Rattus norvegicus: one gene and its partner. The protein of the gene in region 2 interacts with the protein of the main gene of each other region in a pairwise test. Links are inferred from orthologs where the notes say so. Each region holds a gene or a part of one and is shown on either strand. Other genes may lie near its edges.

Region 1 (3,750 bases), on a different chromosome or scaffold from region 2:
TCTTCTTCCTCCTCCTCCTCCTCCTCCCCTTCCTCTCCATCCTCTAGGCTGACAAAACTGACATAAGGACTCAGGTCTCTCAGGTGAAGTGGAGGTTCGTCTCCCAGGAGCCGGGAAGCCCCTAGGCCTGGCCCAGGACCTGGCTCTGCACCTTGCCCCAGGCTGATGCCCACACTGCGGTTTGGTAAAACGTGGAGCACCCAAAGGGCAGGGTCCTGAGGCAGCCTCCTTATCTGAGACTCCAGTTGACGCCATCGGCCCTCAAGGCTTGTTCCCATGGTCCCCCTCTCTGCCACAAACTTGCGGAACCAGCCAAAGAGAAGAGCAGCAAAATCGAGGAACTCATCTCGGTATCCAGACACAAACTCCATGTCTTTAGATACACAGGGCCTGGACCCAGACTGAGCAGAAAGGGATATATGATAACCATGAGGATCAGGGTAGTGGTGGGTTTGGGCTGGGTCACAAAAGGGAGAACGGTGTGGGCTTGAGGTAAGATCTACATAGGAATATTAGGAGCTGAGACTAGGATTTGCAGGGACGGGAATGGAGGGAGGCTAGATGGGAAAGTGGATATTTAGGGTTAAAGGGGAGTACTCAGGGATGAAATTGTACCTGGGGCACAAAACTCAATGACTCAAATCCTAAAATGCGATTTGAATTAAGGGAAGACATGAGGTAAGGCTAATCTTATAGAGAAAGGCTTGCTGAGAAAGGTAAATTTGGGGGTCTGTTGGTCTGTGGGAAATAGAAGTGAAAGTAAGTAACGAGGCATCTCTTGGGTCTGGATCGGTTTGGTGTGAGCCCCAGTTAAAACCCACCCCTTTTCTGGCCGCTCCTCTCCTCCGGTACCTACAGCCGCCACCACTTTTCGAAGGTAAATACCTCGTGCTGGAGGACCGTCGTGACGTCAGGGCCGCCCGTGCCCACAGCTCATAACTTCAGTGGCGCGCTTAGGGCATCTGGCAGTACCTGGCCAGGGCGTGGACAGGGCGTGGACACTCCCACAGTCCTGGGGATTTGTTTGACTGCTTCACCTTGGCCATGTGACTGGATCCTACTGAGACTCAGCGGTCCAGGGAAGTGAAAGCATCTTGGAGCCAGAGGAAGGATCTAGAGGGTAAACCACTTTACAAACCAGCAGACAGACAGATGACCGCTCAAGAGGACTGAAATCCCCGAACCCAACCGAGTCATTCTTCCGGGACCACTGCTTGCTCACTCGGATTCTTCTGGCTCTAGCCCAAGTTTTCTTTCGGTTTTGTCCGATAGTCTTGGCTGACCCTACTGCTGGCCAGGAGTCTCGAGTCGGAAGGAGCTCCGCCTTCCGGGGCAGGGATGTGTGTGTCCCCCGACTGGGAGCTGGGCGCAGCGCGGGCTCCCCGGTACTGACCAGACGGTCGGTTCAGGACAGCGCGCGGGGGACAGAAGGCGCCACCACCTCGCGCCCCCTCCCTTCCTGAGCTTGGCACAGATCAGCGCCTCCGCAAAGCATCAGCCAGGGTGAAGTGAAAGCAATAGAGAATCTGCTGGATGTCGGCTAGGTGACCTGGCCTCAACAAGCTCCGCAGCGGCCTGAGATGAGGCGGGGCTTTGGACCCTTGGCCCTTACACTCTTCCTTTTCTTCTTTGCGCTGCTGACTCTGCCAGGTTAGTCAGGGGGGGCGGGACTGGAGCCCCCTATGGAAACCGCGGAGGTGCACTACGTCCGAGGGATTAAGAACTCAGCCCTGAACCGTCAAGGGCTGCAGCGGTGACTAGGGAAAGTCTTGTCTGAGACAAGGGCAGATTCCTCAGTCTGAAAAACCGAGGCTGATTTCTTTTCCATTTAGGCGATGGCAACCAGGGCAGTGTCGCTGGAAGTTGCTACTGTGATCGTACAATTCCTTCTGGCACCCAGATACCGCCTGCTACTTTGAATCATATGCGAAAATATCTGAAAACGTTCCATCGCTGTCAATTCTTTATCAGGTACTGTCTCTTTCCTTTCCCCGGGAGGGCAGAGTTGTAGAACCAGCAATCTGAATACCCGGTCCAAGTCGGGGAGCCTAGCTCCTTTCTAGCTTCGTCTCTCTGGGGATTTCCAGCCACAGTGCGGCTCACCTGTGACTTCACACCTTTGGAATGAGGAATGGTAGGGAAAGGAAGGAGTGGCCAAGAGACTAGATTGACTTTCTTGCAGGTTCCAGTTGCAGTCCAAGAGTGTGTGTGGAGGAAGCCAAGACCAGTGGGTCCGTGAACTAGTGAACTGCTTTGAGCACAAACGTGAGAGCCTTTTCTGTCCTCCAGTGGGCCATCAGGGTTCAGGCTGCCATCTTACCATTCCCTTTGCCTCTGCCACACAGCACTTTTCCTATTTAAAATCTTTTAAAAACTTTCGCTGAAGTACTGTCACTTAAGTCAGTGTTTTCCCAATATCATTTACTGTCATCTTCCTGCTTTTGGCCAATTTGTCCTACTACATATGCTGTTACTTAATATTTTCTTGAAGTCACTGTTATAAACTGTACTTAAGATTGGTCAAGCTAATCTGCCCCTGATCTATCTCTCTGCTTCTTAAACATTTTTAGACAGGGTCTAACTAAGTTGACCGGGATGGTCTCCTCCTGTTTCAACCTCTCTAGTAGCTGGGATTACAGGACTCTGCAACAGGCTTGGCTTTACCTGCTGTGTTCTAATTGAAATCACCTGAAGGTACTATTTTCACTTTCTAATACTTTTTTCCCCCAAGCATACAAATCTAATTTTCTTTATTTAATCTCCATTAGTTTAAATCTTGGATGGGTACAGCATCACACAGGATCACACGGATTCTGTGTCCAATGGCCTTTGCAGGAAGGTTGCTTTGGAATTTGGCACAAAAACCGCATCACTGTTTCTGTGGGTCCCAGTTACTTTTCCCCAGACCACTCTGGTTTTGTTTGGTTTGCCCCAGATCACTCCTCCAGGAGTCACTGTATTTTTTTTTTTTTTTTTTTTTTGCTTTGAACACATAAGAACACCTCTTGCGCTCTTGTTCTCTCTTGCTCTCTTTCTCTCTAACCCCCCCCCCCACATACTCATGGCTGGCCTCTATTCCCCCACACACACACCTCCACCTCTCTCTCTCTCTCTCTCTCTCTCTCTCTCTCTGCCTCTACGACTCTCTTAACTCCCCCCATGCCCTGAATGAACTCTATTTTATAAAAAAACAAAAACAAAAACAAAAAAACAAAACAAACAAACAAACAAAACCCACCTCTTCCCTAAGTAGAACTCAGTTTCATCTCAGGCATAAACACCTTCAATTTTAAGAAGAGCTGTGTGCTCTCTTTGGTTCCAGAGACCTCGCTTGTAGCCAGCATTGTTTGCACCACAGCCTTCCAGACATACTTGCTTTTTTTTTTAGAAGTCCTGTTCCCAGCAGGCCTCCAAAAGTGCACTCACGAGGCAGAGACAGGCAATCTCTGTAAGTTGGAGGCCAACCTGGTCTACAGAGCTAGCTCTAGGATGGCCAGGCTACACAAAGAAACCCTGTCTCAAACAATTAGTTTACCTGGTATCAAAGGTACCCCACTGCCTTTCAGGCTACAGAGACTACATTGTATTCTTCAACCCTCTCAGATACCCTAGGCCTTTTACTCTGAAGAGAGTCCCAGAAGGCTGTAGACGAGGGGTAAAGGACATCTAGGGTCCCATGCAGGGCAGCACACCTGCTTGTCCTTGTGACTGCATCCAGTGGTTTGTGAACTTCCTTGCCCCTGTCTGTCC
Region 2 (3,069 bases):
CCTAGGCCACCAGTGCTTATGAGGCGAGACAGACTGTTGTCCTGTCCTTAATTCAAGGCCCTGCCTGGTAATAGGTCACAATGCCCCAGAGTGTTCAAATCTAGAATGGTCAACCCAAGTAGGAGGAGGTGAGGAGAGTTGGTGAGGATGTTGGGTGGGAGTCGGGGGAGGGAGATCCCCAAAGAGGCTAGTTCCTCACTCACTGAGCTCACCCTGGAGTGTTGTATCCCTTCACTGATCCTCAATCTCCTAGCACGAGGACTCCCTAATAACCTTTGGGACCTGGCTCTGCTTACTCATGCCCAGAACTATTCTACAGCCAACTTCCTCCTTCCAGAGGGGCTGGAGACTGGAGAGGGATTGAGTAGTGTCAGTGAGCCATGTGTGTCCCCTGGGACTTCAGCCAGGCCCAGCTCCTGGACAGTATCCTAGGGCTGGGGGCGCTAGGAGTGACGATTCGAACAGTCTTCTCAACGGCTGGCCTAGCCCTGCTGCTCCTGTTGCTGTCCAGCTTCCTTGTTTTTGACCTGCTCCGTGGGTAAGTGCCACCTGTCAGGTAGGTGTCACAAACACAGGGACAAATGAGCAGTTGCCTCGAGCTGCCATCTTCTCTCTCCACAGATCCACAGGTCCCAACCTGCCACGGCACAGACTTCTCCCAACAGGTCAGAGCCAGGGGGCTGGTGAAGGGCCAGGACAGCAAGCAGCTCCCCTGTCCCCAACAGGGAGAGTCTCGGGACTGCTCAGACTCCAGGATGCACTGCTCCTGCTGTTCCTGGGCCTCAGCCTGCTCTTGGGAGGCTCTGGTATCCCCTTAGCCATGCTGGGCCTAGCTTTCTGTATCCATCCGTGGGCCTGAGGGGCCTCCAAAAGATGAATGCCTTCTAAAAACACACCATCCAATCTGCTCTCTGATTTCTTCTCCTCCATCCTGAGCTACGTGAGGGTAAGGTTGTCTGTTGGAAGGACAGAATAGTCCAGTATATTCAGCTTGAACCTTCTAGTTCCATAATATGAACATTTGGTAGCTGGGTCTGAGGCTTAGGGCATTAAGAGAAGGCAGAGAAAAGGGTGGTTACAGAAACCAATGCCAGCCATGAAGTTGGAGGCAGCCATCCAGGAGGGACAGGTGTGGAGAAGGCTTCCTACAAGCAAGGAGAATGGCATCTGTGAGGCTTGCTGAGCTCTCCTGCCAGCCTGGAGGGGCCGTGAGTAAAAGACGTGAGTGAGTCTCACACTGCAGCAGCTCTTCTCTCGGCTGGGCCCCACCCCAGCCCGGGTCATAATGCACCCCTCTGGGGATGGTGGGGTGAGCGAGGGTGAGACTGGGACCTGGCTGCCAGGTTAGCCTGCACACAACAGGAAGCACCATGACTTAGGTGGCTCTGCCCAAAGGTGAGTCCTAGCCCCCGGGTCAAAGCCCAATCCTGCCCATGCTGGTATCCTCCTGACCCCTGCATGCCCTCCTATCCAAAGGTCCTGGGCATCTCCAGGGTTGCTCCTGCAGCTGGCCTGGCCCCATCCACAGGTGCACCAGCCGTGATGCAGCAGCCACGAGTGGAGACGGACATCATCGGGGCTGGCGAGGGGCCCCAGCGGGCAGCGCCCTGGTCAGCCTGGGTTCTCCGTCAGGACTGGGTGCGCTGGTGGGTATGCCACATACCTCGGAGCTGGGCCCAGTGGTGGAATACATCAGGCTGGAGGCAACCACTGCAGCGCATGCTATGGGGTCTGGAGGGGACACTGTACCTGCTGCTGGCACTGATGCTGTGCCATGCACTCTTCACCACTGGCTCCCACCTGCTGAGCTCCCTGTGGCCTGTGGTGGCTGTCATGTGGAGCCACCTGCTGCCAGCTGTCCTGCTGCTTGTGCTCAGTGCCCTGCCTGCTCTGCTCTTCGCTGCCTCCTTCCTGCTGCTCTTCTCCACACTGCTGAGCCTCGTGGGCCTCCTCACCTCCATGACTCACCCAGGCTACGCTCAGGACTTGGACCAATAGAAGGGCAACCCCATCTTACTGCTTGTGTCTGTTGAGCCCTGGCCTAGGGCCTGAGCCCTGTGGGGAGGGTGGGCAGGGAAACTCCAACAGACCTCAGACCCCCAGTCACAAACACAAGTGGGGGTCTGGATTCTGGGCATCTACCTTAAACCCACACTGGTGTCAGGAACAGGACGGTCTTGCTAGGACAAACCACGGAAAGCACCATGTCACTTGATCTTCCTGGCAGAACCCTTTTGTCACCACCTCAGCCCTCCCAGCTCCAGGCTTCTTGAGAGTTTCCATGTACATATCCCTGGGCTTGTCTGGATTTGTCCCGGGTCCTCTCTCTAATTCCAGGAGGAGCACACACTCTGGAATGGGTTTTATTGACAGAAAGAGAGGCTGGGGACCTCACCTCACAGAAACGGGAAAGAGGCCAATCATGGGGGAGACTGAGGGAGGGTGGAGAGTGTGTGTGTAGACTGGACCCAAGGCTTTGTGCATAAGCAAACACTCCACCCTACATACTCATATTTTTAAGAGCCTCCAGGTCTGTTACAAAAATGCAAAGTTCCATATCTTGGCCAATTCACTATTCTTGAACCTCAGCGTTAAGGGAGCCCCCATGTTTTCATAATGTCGTTACGATCGAAAGCCAGTATCTGTTTGCAAACTACTTTGCTTTTGCTGTTGTTTTGAAACAGGGTCTCATGAAGCCCAGGGTGGCTTTGGACTCTTTAGCTGGGAATGACTTTGAATTTCTGATCCTGTCGCCTCTATTTATGTGCAGAGTACTGGGATTAAAACTTGCGCCATCATGCCTGGTTTTATGAAAAGTACTTTGTAAGGCTAAACAGCAGTTAAGCTCAAAAGGCCTTTTGATTCAGAAGCTAAAAGATGGAGTATGTTTCTCTAGGCTTGCACAGAAAATCTGTCATGTATGGAGTCCCAGCCCCAGAACTGACATGGAATGAACGGGGCGATGAAATGTGAAAGGTACCACGTGGCCTCACGCTAGGCAGATACTGAACTAGATGAGTTGTGCAATGCCTGAGACCGGAGCCTGGTCCAGGAAATGTTGTAAGGCTG

Evidence for each region.
Region 1: the proteins of Tmem239 (region 2) and Cxcl16 interact in a two-hybrid assay, tested with the Homo sapiens proteins (2 studies listed by BioGRID). The two-hybrid records come from large-scale screens. The link is inferred for Rattus norvegicus from reciprocal best matches to the Homo sapiens genes TMEM239 and CXCL16.

Annotation. Positions count from the first base shown.
Region 1 is NC_086028.1:55,667,495-55,671,244, reverse strand, and holds the start of Cxcl16 (C-X-C motif chemokine 16 precursor), read left to right. Parts: upstream 1-1,294; 5' UTR 1,295-1,580; coding exon 1,581-1,650; intron 1,651-1,832; coding exon 1,833-1,971; intron 1,972-2,182; coding exon 2,183-2,265; intron 2,266-3,750. Other genes in the region: Zmynd15 (zinc finger MYND domain-containing protein 15), read right to left, coding at 1-371. UniProt on the Homo sapiens protein: Acts as a scavenger receptor on macrophages, which specifically binds to OxLDL (oxidized low density lipoprotein), suggesting that it may be involved in pathophysiology such as atherogenesis. Induces a strong chemotactic response. Induces calcium mobilization.
Region 2 is NC_086021.1:138,056,539-138,059,607, forward strand, and holds Tmem239 (transmembrane protein 239), read left to right. Parts: upstream 1-1,338; 5' UTR 1,339-1,395; intron 1,396-1,476; exon of another isoform or gene 1,477-1,528; 5' UTR 1,529-1,542; coding exon 1,543-1,998; 3' UTR 1,999-2,552; downstream 2,553-3,069. Other genes in the region: uncharacterized protein C20orf141 homolog, read left to right, coding at 381-538, 622-859.